Linked DNA regions of Macaca mulatta. The protein of the gene in region 3 purifies or fractionates together with the protein of the main gene of each other region. This does not show direct contact. Links are inferred from orthologs where the notes say so. Each region holds a gene or a part of one and is shown on either strand. Other genes may lie near its edges. The genes, in order: DAAM1, RAP1GDS1 and RHOC.

Evidence for each region.
Region 1: the proteins of RHOC (region 3) and DAAM1 purify together in Homo sapiens (affinity purification with mass spectrometry; 3 studies listed by BioGRID and IntAct, counting the BioPlex papers as one, with this or other methods). This does not show direct contact. The link is inferred for Macaca mulatta from reciprocal best matches to the Homo sapiens genes RHOC and DAAM1.
Region 2: the proteins of RHOC (region 3) and RAP1GDS1 purify together in Homo sapiens (co-immunoprecipitation; 3 studies listed by BioGRID and IntAct, counting the BioPlex papers as one, with this or other methods). This does not show direct contact. The link is inferred for Macaca mulatta from reciprocal best matches to the Homo sapiens genes RHOC and RAP1GDS1.

The regions. Positions count from the first base shown.
Region 1 is NC_133412.1:132,485,271-132,488,917, reverse strand, and holds part of DAAM1 (disheveled-associated activator of morphogenesis 1), read right to left. Parts: intron 1,426-3,647; coding exon 1,255-1,425; intron 192-1,254; coding exon 1-191. UniProt on the Homo sapiens protein: Binds to disheveled (Dvl) and Rho, and mediates Wnt-induced Dvl-Rho complex formation. May play a role as a scaffolding protein to recruit Rho-GDP and Rho-GEF, thereby enhancing Rho-GTP formation. Can direct nucleation and elongation of new actin filaments.
Region 2 is NC_133410.1:107,712,697-107,716,343, reverse strand, and holds part of RAP1GDS1 (rap1 GTPase-GDP dissociation stimulator 1), read right to left. Parts: intron 3,466-3,647; coding exon 3,340-3,465; intron 2,249-3,339; coding exon 2,109-2,248; intron 1-2,108. UniProt on the Homo sapiens protein: Acts as a GEF (guanine nucleotide exchange factor) for the Rho family of small GTP-binding proteins (G proteins) that stimulates the dissociation of GDP to enable subsequent binding of GTP.
Region 3 is NC_133406.1:127,552,477-127,556,722, reverse strand, and holds the start of RHOC (rho-related GTP-binding protein RhoC), read right to left. Parts: upstream 2,927-4,246; 5' UTR 2,877-2,926; intron 1,117-2,876; exon of another isoform or gene 886-1,116; intron 1-885. UniProt on the Homo sapiens protein: Regulates a signal transduction pathway linking plasma membrane receptors to the assembly of focal adhesions and actin stress fibers.

The DNA.
Region 1 (3,647 bases), on a different chromosome or scaffold from region 3:
ATTGGTCTCTCTCTGCTGCTGTCAGTCATCTGGTTGGTAATGCGTTTGCGATTCCGTTTCAATTTAGAAAGGTCTTTGTCAAACACTTCTCCTGAGCGTAAAGCTGAAACAAGGTCATCAAACTCTCCGCTTTCTTCACTATTCTCTTTAGCTTTTCTCATTTTACGTTCCCTTTCACGTTGTTCTTTGAGCTGCAAATAGAAAGAAATAACCTCTTAGAAACATGTCAAAATGTTGCATTTTGTTTTCAGTAGAGATGAATTCTGTGAAATATGGTAATGCTCCAGACACCAAGCTGTGCTCATCCTATAACCCCTTTGGATATCACAAGAAAGGGTAATTGGAACATGGAGTCTCCATTGTGGAAGCAATGGACAACAACAAAAAATAACCACTGTCTTGTGGTTAGACCCTCACCACCTAGATTCTAGGTAAACTGCATGATATTCTAGTTAAAATAAGAGCAATTGAGGCAATTTGTGTTTTTGCTAACGAAAAAAAAAAAAAAGGTATCACTATTACATAGACCCCAAATAACTAAAGCAAATGGTCATCAGGCCATTTTCCTTATATCAAAGGCTTAGCTTGCATCTACTGTGGAAGCCTGAAACCTGATACACAACAGTTACTGTTATTAAAAGCCAACTAATACATGCACATTGTAGACAATTTGGATAATTCAGATAAAAGGAAGGTGGGGGAAGCATCTTTAATTCTACTACTGTGAACTTTTTAGAGGTTTATCTCACCACTATTATTTTCTATATGTATTAACATCTTAAGAAACAAAACAGAAAAAGATTTCATGTAGAAATCACTTTGTAAACTTTTCTGTATCATTACTCTTTAAATACATGTCTTTTAAGGACTGCGTAAATATACCATTATATAGTCGTTACATCATTTAGAACTCAAGCCCTATTGGTAAACATTTAGGTTGTCTTTAGCTTGGGGCTATTATAAAGAATGCTGCCCTTTTTTGTGTAAATTTATGATTATTTCTTTAAAATAAATGCCAAAAATTGGAATTCCAGAGCAAAGGATGTGGATAGATATATTTTTTTTAAGGCTTTGAAATACACTGTTAAATAGCCCAAGAGAAACAACACCAATTTAAAATCCCACAGAATTCTAGAGAGTACACTGAAGCCTTCCTTCCTGCCAGCAGGTCAGAGTGCTCTCTAAATACTTTTGACTGGGCTGCAGCCATAGGACTTCTAGGAGGTGGAATTGGTCAATTAATCATCCTCTCACCTGAGCTTCCATGCGAGCTCGACGTTCTTCTTCCTCCTTTTTCTTTCTCATATTTTCATTTTCTTGCTTGGCTTCTGAAACAGCTTGAAGAAACTGATCAAAAATGCCAAAGAACTCATCTGGTTGTATTTTGCCAGCCTCTTCCCCAAAGTGCTTCACTGCTTTAGTGAACTAGAAAAAAGAGGGTTTTAAGAAGTCAATGTTTCATGAGAATTCCATAATCAAATACAAATAACTTTAGAAAGACTAAAGCCCAGATTGAGTCAAGCATAAGTTTTGTTTGCTCATTTATTTTTATTTATTAATTTTTTTTGGAGATGGTGTTTCGCCATCACCCAGGCTGGAGTGCAGTGGCATGATCCCAGCTCACTGCAACCTCTGCCTCTCGGGTTCAAGTGATTCTCCAGCCTCAACCTCCCAAGTAGCTGGGATTACAGGCACATACCACCATGCTTAGCTAATTTTTGTAGTTTTAGTAGAGTAGGGGTTTTACCATGTTGGCCAGGCTGGTCTCAAACTCCTAACCTCAGGTGATCCACCCACCTTGGCCTCCCAAAGTGCTGGGATTACAGGCGTGAGCCACCATACCTGGCAGTTTTTCTTGTTTTGTTTTTGTTTTTAAGAGATGGGGTCTTACATGTTGCCCAGGCTGGAATGCATATGTTATTGGTTTTTTTTTCCCCCCCCCAAATTTATGGAGTCTTACATATTACCCAGGCTGGAGTTTAGTGGCTATTCAAAGGTATGATCACAGCAAACTACAGCCTCAAACTCCTGGGCAATCTTTCCCCTTAAGCCTCACAAGTAGCTGGGACTATAGGCATGTGCCACTGCACCCGGCTAAGTCAAACATAACTGATGGATTCTAGCGAGCCTATATTTATCTTCAGCTGCTGAACATGTCTATTAATCATTTCTAAGTAAAAATTTTAATACTCCTTAGCTTTTGAAACCATTTATTCCTGTCTACCTCAGTTGAGCTTAACATGTATGATGACCTCCTATGACTTTTTATTAACTAAACAGTAGTAAAAACAAAATATTGTAGAGCACAGCACCCCAGACATAAAACTAACAGCAAACTCGGCAGGGGGAGGGAAACTTGTACTTTTAACTTTTCTTTGAAGTAGTTTAAAATCATTTACTAGTGCCATATGGTCAACATAGAAAGCAAATGGGAGCCAGTGCCTCTTAGCTGCTTTTCCCAATCATAAATAATGCTGCTATTGTTGGGATATTTTCAGGGTCTCAATGAGAAAACAGTAACTGAGTATGGAATCTTTAATGCAACCCAGTGTATGACTGAGAATACAATTTTATTCCAAATTCTTTGTTTTAGAACCCCTTTCAATGCCAATCTTTTTTTAAAAAGTTTTTTAAAAAAAGATATGGGGTATTGCAATGTTACATTGCCCAGGCTGGACTCAAACTCCTAGGCACAAGTGATCCTCCTGCCACAGCCTCCTGAGTAGCTGGGACTATGGGTACATGCAACATGCCCCAGTGTCAATCTTTTCAAATGGCCAAAATGCAACATACCAAGGAAGAAATTTATGAAGTTAGATAAAAATATATGTATACAGTAACAATAGTATATCCAGTCTTGTTTTAGTTCTTCCAGAGGTTATCTTCATAACTCAAGGCAGTATGTATTTCAATAGTCTTAGCATTACAACTACCCAAATAATATTCAATGTCAAATTGTTTGTTAAAATTATACTTCCTTCTGTAAGGATCTAATGCTATTACTCCTAAGCTACTAAGGATAGTGTTCCTAGCTTCAAAGTCAAATACATTTTTCCCCATGACCAATCAACTACTTAACATTTTCCAGATTTTAAGTTTTCTTCATATTTAGACCACGCTGTGTTTATGCAGTGCCCCCAAACAGTTTATAATTGGTTTTATTTTTATTGCTTTGTCTTTGTTACACTGTTAGGTTCTTCTGATACTTCAGTGATACTATCTACCTAAAATATTTTCAACATTTATTTTTAAATAAAACAAGTTTTGGCTTATATTTATATATATTTTATAATTACTGTATCTTTAAATTTGTAATAAAAGTGTCCTTTTTACCATTTCTGTCTTCACTGAGGAGTTTTCAATGTTTTACTTATTTGGAAATACTCTATTAGAAAAGAGTTCTTCGGGCAAAAACATAACATTCTTCAGACACCATATATAGTGCTCTAGCTTGCTCCATGGTTTTATATGCTAATTTATAAAAGTTCTGGTATGAACAAAATAGCAATAGACAGTCTACAACCGGATTTCTAAAACATTCAAGTTCACGTACTTTAGGCCATCCCGAGTGATCTTTTTATCAAGGAATTCTAGTGATCATGATGTCATGTATATTGAAATCTTAGAAATCTAAAGAAAACCAGGCC
Region 2 (3,647 bases), on a different chromosome or scaffold from region 3:
CACCTGTAATCCCAGCACTCTGGAAGGCTGAGGTGGGCGGATCTCCTCAGGTTAGGAGTTCAAGACCAGCCTGACCAAAATGGAGAAACTCTGTCTCTACTAAAAATACAAAATTAGCCGAGCATGGTGGTGTATGCCTGTGATCCCAGCTACTCAAGAGGCTGAGGCAGGAGGACTGCTTGAATCCAGGAGGAGGAGGTTGCAGTGAGTGGAGATCGTGCCATTGCACTCCAGCCCGAGCAACAAGAGTGAAACTCTGTCTCAAAAAAACCCCGAATAAACAAAAACCCAAATAATGGCAACTTGCTGCTTAAAATCCTTTAAGTGCTCCAGAATTCTCTACAGAATCAAGTCCATACACCTTAACTTGGCATATAATTCACTTAATTCCCAGTTTTCAACCTCTCTGGCCACTGTCTCTCTCCACACTCTATGTTCTAGCAATGCTGCTTTATTTGCAGTTTCCTTCTAAAATTATGCTGTTTTACATCTCTGTACTTTTTGTACATCCTGTCGTCTTTGCCTGAAAAGGCCCTTTCCTTCATTCTCTTTCCCTTTCCTCCTGAGAGATTCCTAGTTAGCCCCTAAAATAGCACTCCTTCTATGACACCATCCCAGACCACTCAGACAGTGTGTTAGTCTTTCTTTCCTCTGTTACATCCGAATAGCATATGTAGCTTTAATGCTGTACTTAAGCTAGCTGTTTTTATGTCTGTCCCCTCAATAGATAGTTAATTCCTTTATAGAAACACTATTTTGTAGTATTTACACTGCAAGAACTCAAATATTAACTGTTAAATGAACAAATGGGCATGAGAGAACAGTTATGATGGAGAAGGGGTGAAAGGGGTACCAACGAAGCCATTTTGCTATTCTCTCTTGATAACTTTCGCTTTGCCAACATACTACTTGGTCCTGTGTCAGGGAAAATGTATAAGATTTTAGGGTGGTCTGGGTGAGACAGGTAATAGGAAGGTCCTAGTTAACAGCTGCTTTTCCCCAGGGAAAGTTCTCAAGATTTAGCATCTGATGGAGAAGAACACTCCTGAGGCTAACCAGCTGGGATGGCTATTATGGTGAAGTGAATTATTTATATGAAAGAGATTTATACAAGTCAAGAACAGTTTTAGTTTTATGCTTTTTCTCTTGGCATCTTCTTATCTGTTCTAAAAATAAATGAAAACAGCTGGTGGGTTTGAGTTCTAAACTTTCTCCTCATATATAATCACTACTGAAGTTGTACAAGAGAAATGACTGAAAGGGTCACCTTAGAAAACAGTATTAAAGGCTGGGCATGATGGCTCATGCCTGTAATCCCAGCACTTTGGGAAGCCGAGGCAGGCGGATCATGAGGTCAGGAGTTCGAGGCCAGCCTGGCCAACATGGTAAAACCCCATCTCTACTAAAAATACAAAAATTAGCTGAGGGTGGTGGCGCCTGCCTGTAATCCCTGCTACTCTGGAGGCTGAGGCAGGAGAATTGCTTGAACCTGGGAGGTAGAGGTTGCAGTGAGCCGAGGTTGTACCACTGCACTCTAGCCTGGGCGACAGAGCAAGACTCAGTCTCAAAAAAAAAGAAAGAAAAGAAAAAAACAGTATTTAAAAAATTTAAAAATCATATAATCTAGATACTAAATCAGCTGCTGAACTGCTGGCCTGGGTACTCACTATTGTGATCTTTGAAACAGCTCATCTGTTCATTTATTGGTTATCTACCATGTGCCAGAAAGCTGCACAGTCACAAGAATGGATTTTTTTCTAACTCTGTGAGCTCTGGACATCATATACTATCTAGATATCATTTAATTTCTAAATTCTAAATATCAGTAGCCTGCATGGTCAATGCCTGGCACAAAGAAATGTTTGACACTAATGCTGGTAATGGTGGTGGTAAAAGTAATAACAACAATAGCAGCAGCAACAGCAACCCCCATTTACTGAGTGTTTCCTATATCCCATGTACCAGCTAAGCACATTATACACATGATCTCACTGAATCTTCACAATACTTTCAGGTAAATATTATCCCAGTTGTTAGGACCTACAATGCTGGGTTTCTGAAAAAGACGCTCTGAAGTTTTCTAGTGAACAGTTTCCTCTGGAACTTACTTTTGATTTACTGTGTCGTATAAGGGCAGACAGCAGTCTGTTTGACTCCCCCATCACACCAGCATGATCTTTGGCTTCACACCATTCCACCAAACGCTCCACTAACTTAACATTCTTTCCCAGTTGTTCAGCAGCTTCTGCTATAGGAAAGAAGGCAAACCAAGGAATGAATCACTAACAGACAATCAGCTGAAGTAATTCGTAAAGATTTAAGAGTGTGAAGGAGAAATACATCTAAAAAAACACAGCACAACAATTTCATTAAAGCTAGAACTGCAAATATTCCTTATGTGATGGGCTATTTGCCTTTTTCTGTAACATTGTGAAATTTTATAGAAAATACAAAAACAAATGATTTCATACTCTTTTGGTTAAGCCTGCTAGTCTGTTAGTGCTCTGGCAGACTATAATGCAGGGTTCTTAGAAGGACTCTATGCAATCAATATAGAAAAGGCTTTAGAATTTAGAAATAAGTAAATAAACATAATTCATTCCTAGGAGTGGTTCTGACTGCTGTTTCTGCAAATAGAAAAATGCTCTCCCTGCCACAAGACAAATTTTTAAGATTTTTGACTGTCACAATAATGAAATTTGATTTCAAAGCCAAGGTGAAAATGGGTATAGAATGCCAAAACACAACGCCCTCCCCCGAAATTGATAATAAAGCAAACTAAAACCAGGATTATAAGAATTAATAAGGAGAGATATGGTATAATTTCTACTTAAAGTCAATAATAGGCTGGGCGTGGTGGCTCACACCTGTAATCCCAGCACTTTGGGAGGCTGAAGTGCGAGGATCGCTTGAGGCCAGGAGTTCAAGAGCAGCCTGGGCAACAAGCCCCATCTCTAGTGAAATTCCAAAAACAATTAGCCAGGAGATGTGGAGCATGCCTGTAATCCTAGCCACTCAGGAGGCTGAGGCAGGAAAATTGCTTGAACCCAGGAGGTGGAAGTTGCGGTGAGCTGAAGTCACACCACTGCACTCCAGCCTGGGTGACAGAACAAGACTCTGTCTCAAAAATAAATAAATAATAGTTATAAATAAATAAATAGTCAATTATAACAAGCACAAAAATTAACAAATGGAGTTCCAAAACTAATTTTTTAATCTTTTATTTGCTATTTTTTATGATTACATAATCCTGAAAGCGAGAAACAAGTCTTTTTTCAACTAGAAGCACATTAAGACTATCATACCAAAAATGCAAGTTGGGGAAAACATTTCTTTTACCTTGTGCATCTATTAACATTCTTAATGTTCCCAGAAGTTTGAACTGAACAGGGGGCATTTCAGATTTAAGAAATTTTAAAACTGTCTCTGTGACCCCAGCTGATAACATCTTTGCTTTATTTATAACTGTAGAAAAAGAGAGACTATGGTTAAAATGGTATTAGCATTCCTGTTGATAAACATTCAATTCAATACAGGTTTATTGAGTGTCTTTAAGATCCATGTTATATTTTTCCATTTAGAAACAATTCTGTCACTTTTTTGTCAATTTTAAGAATGGAATTCAGTTGTTTATGTGTGTGTCTGTA
Region 3 (4,246 bases):
CTTCACACATCAGGGTTTCAAGTCAGACTTCATTGGCTACCAGGATTTTGATGCATTTACAGTTTAATAATCTCTAAGGTCCAATCTAGAACAGATTGTCCCTCAGCACAAGTCATACCTGTCCAGTCACAAATAAGGAGTCCCTCTCTAGGACCAGAGTAGCAGAACCAGCTACCAGGTGGTAGGTGGGTAAAGGAAGAATAGTTACAGAGTCCCTAGGTGCCAGGCACTCTGTCGGGCATTTTGGCAGGAATTATCTCCTTTGGTCCCCAGATGCCTGGGAGGTAGATGGTGTACTTTCCATTTTGACAAACTAGGAAACTAAGGCTCAATGAGGTTAAGACAGATTCAGAGCTGTGGCTTATAAGCGGCAGGGATAGCATCCATAGCAGGACTGTGTGACTCAAAGCCGTGCCTCTTCGACATGTCACCTCAGCGGTAGGAAGGAGAGCAGAAGCAGGGAAACCCAGAGGACAGGGGCAGCAGCCAGCCAGCTTCCCTGGTCCACCCCACCCCGTCCCCAAAGCCCCAAGTCATACAAAGGAGGCTCAGTCCCAGCAGTGCCCACAGCTCGAGTTTGGGCAGGCTGCCTTCCTCCCCCCTTCCTCCTGGGCCTGCCAGCAACACTGGGTCACTCAGCCCCTGGCAGGGGACAATGACCACACTGTAGGGAGCCACACATCCACCACAGCACAGTGACTGAGAAGAATCCACCAGGGAATCACCTCCACCCACTCTGGAACAGTCCCTTCCTCCCTTGGTCCAGCTCACCCACAGGCCCTGCCCACCCCTCCCTGTGACTCAGGGCAAGGAGTCAGCTTCCCGGGCTTCCAAGTGTCCCCCACCCCCAGCACACACGGCGAGCATCTGCACAGTTCATCACACCTTCGCAGCTTCCCTCACTTCCTCCTTCCCTGGGGAGGGGAACCGGCCTCCAGCCGGCTGAAGTTCCCAGGCTGCAGGAAGAGAGGGCGGGCTCTGGAGCTGAGATGAAGTCAAGGCTGTTGGGAAGGGGGAGGGGGCTAGAGTCTGGGTTGGGAGGAGTCCCAAAAGAAGAGACAAATGAGGGCCAGTCCCAGCACCAACCAGGCAGGGAGCAGTTAAGAAAGCGACGGTAACCTGATCTCGGCTTCAAACCTAGCTTTTTCTCTCAGTCCCACATCCTGTCAAACTGGGCTGACTGAAGGCCTCTACTCCCCACACCCCGCCACCACCTCACACTGCCCTTTAGGAAACGAATCCTCCAGCCCCAGGCCTGTTCCCTTCAACAGCAGATCCTAGGTGGCCCTTCCCTTGCCTCCACACACATTCACAAAACTGTCGGTTTTGTGGACGTGAGTCAGAGAATTTACAGGAGTTCAAAGTACACAGCCACACTCTTCCCACCAGAAAATGGACTCTCTCTGATTCCCCAGAAGACAAGCAAGAAGGCTTTCACCCTGCCGGCAGATAGCCTCCAGAAATGGAAACCACCCTCCAAAAAGAGGGTTCCTCGGGAATTCTATCCAGGTGACTGACGCTAGGATTTCTTCCAACTCCTCCACCCACTCCATTAGTTCACCTTGCCCTGTTTTGTAAAGATGGGCTGGGGTAGCCCCACCCTGGGGTGGGCAGTGTTGGAGGGCAATCACTACTGGGGTGAAAGCCAGTCACTTAGGCATGAGTATGTCACTGCTGTCCCCCCAGCAGGGTAATTCAGATGGCACCAGAGTGGAAAGAGGCAGAGGACAGAAGCCTGGGGTTGAGGCATGCGTTAAGGGACCTGGAGCCTCCAGCTCAATTAGAAGACCTTCCCTCCAGGCTATGGTTGGGCCGGAACAGCAGGCAGCCCAGGCCAGGCCAGGACACTAGGCCCAAGGCCAAGATGGCATGGATAACTCCCTATGGGAGGCAGCCCCAGAGGGACTGTCCCACTGACCCCTTAAGAGGGGCAACTGAGCCCCACACAGGTCCTGGAATGGAGCCTGGAACTTCTGGGGCCTTCCCCAAGACAAGACAGTGTGGATACACCAGATCTCTCTCCAACCGCTCTCTTGAATTCCCAGATGATCCAGAGCGGCCGGTTGACTTTGCTGACCCACCCTACACCTAGGGAAGGAATCCGTTCTGGAGATACCAGGAGATACCTCATTCTCAACTTTAAAACCAGAGTGAGGGTGGGACTCGGCCTCAGGATCCCAGCCCCAAAACCCCAGGATACACACACACACACACACACACACACACACACACACACACACACACACACACACACACACACACACACACACACACACACACACACACACACACACACACACACACACACACACACACACACACACACACACACACACACAGTTGGATCCTTCCCCATCTCCCTTATCCTCAACACAAGCGGGCTCCAGGAACCGTCTAGGGCGGCGTCCAGACCCTGCCGAACAGTGGCAGGTCCCAATGGTCACATCCCGCCCCTATTCCCGCCATGCCTCCCTCCTGGCCTGGAGGAATTCCCACCCCATCCCACTCTAGGTCCCCTGCGGCCGCCCGCCCTGGGGGCTGGAGCGTCTGAGTTGAGGCTCCCTCGCCCCTCACCCGGCGGGGCAGGTTCCAGGAAGCTGGAAGGAGAGGGGAAGGGGCTCCGACTCGGACCTCAGGAGGCGAGAGCCCCTGCCAGCAAGTCCGGGCCCCCTCGCTGCAGCCCGGGGAGGTGCCGACGCGGCCGACCCCCGCCCAGCCCGGATGCCGACTCCGCAGGGAGGGAACGGGGTCCAAGCCCAGGCCGAAGCCCCCTCCCTGCACGGGCCTCGATCTCCGGCCCAGAGAGGAAGGCAAAGTGCTCTCCCGGGGACGAGTTCCCAAGACGCCCCGCTGCCCGCAGCCCCGGCCCAGGGTACCTTCGGTTCCGCCGCCTCCAGCTGCGCGGCCGGTGCCTGAGGCTCAGACTGACCCCAGGGCCCCGCCCCGCCCTCCTCCAGCTCCGCGGCGGGGAGGGCGGGCCCGGCAGGGGGAGGGTCGGCTGGGGGCGGCCCTTGGCTCGGCCCGCCCCGGCCCCGCGCAGGGCGGCCGCCGCTTCCCTGGTCCGCAGGCCTGGGGCCGGGGGCGTCCACTCCGCCAGGTAGGGGAGGGCCACGGGGTTATTCCGGGACTGCGGAGGAGCCGGGCGAGCGGGGCCAGCACTACCTGGGTGAACTCACTCTGCCCAACCTTCCAGCCCCTAGGGGAGGACCGGCGTCGGGAAAGTTAAGAGTGCTCGGGGTGGGGTCAGGAAGGGCCGCTGCTGCCCTCCTGTGGCCAATCAGCCACCAGCTCTTGCTGCACCTGGGACCTCTCCGGAGGCGGGACTGGGAAAGGGCAGCCCCCGGCACGTCCCAGGGCCCGGCGTGGGTGTGTTGGTTGGGGGAGATGTCCACTCTCTTGTTCCTAGGATCGTACAGCCCAACGTCATCCCCCAAACTTGAAGACCTCTCAGAGCCGTTCAGACCCAGACCAGCGTTCCTCCTCACAATTCGCTTTCCTCCCTGGGCCTGGAATTTCCAGGAGTCCAATTCCTACCTACTCCTCAAAGGGTGCTCCTAGAAATGCTTCCGGATCCCAGCTGGGAATTCTGTTCCCACTTCTAGTTCTGACTTGGTGTATAGGATACTTACCTACACGCGTATCTCCTTTTCCTGTAAGGAAGCTGAGGAGGTGGGAGTAGAATGAGGACGTCCACCAACATTTCATTGGCTTGTGCTTGGGACACTACACAGCTTAACCCTTTCAATATTCATCACAGATCTTTGGGGAAAATATACCCATCCCTTTTTGCCCATAGGGAAGCTGAGGCTCAGAGAAATCAAGTGGCTTACACAAATGTTTTTGACTTGTGACAGCAAGAATTCACAAAGCCGGGCCTGTCTGGCTCCAAACTGGTGGTCTGGCCCTGCTACTTCCCAGGCTCCTCCAGCCTGTCCCTTCCCCCGTTGTCTAGCACAGTGAGTGGCACGTAATAGGTTGCCAACAAATATTTGATGAATGAATGAATGTTAGGAGTCATACAGACTTTATCTGAAGTGCAATCCAGACATTTGACAAATGTGAAAACTGAGGTCCACAGCAGTTTGACCCCAGGCCTCTTAACTGGCTCAGTAAACATTTCTTGAGGGTGAACTGAGAGCTATGTTTGGAAGATCCATTTCTGCCTTCAAACAACTTAAGAGTCTAAATGAGGAATGCAGACAATTTCAAGATGGCTAACATTTATTGAATCCATATTACATGGACC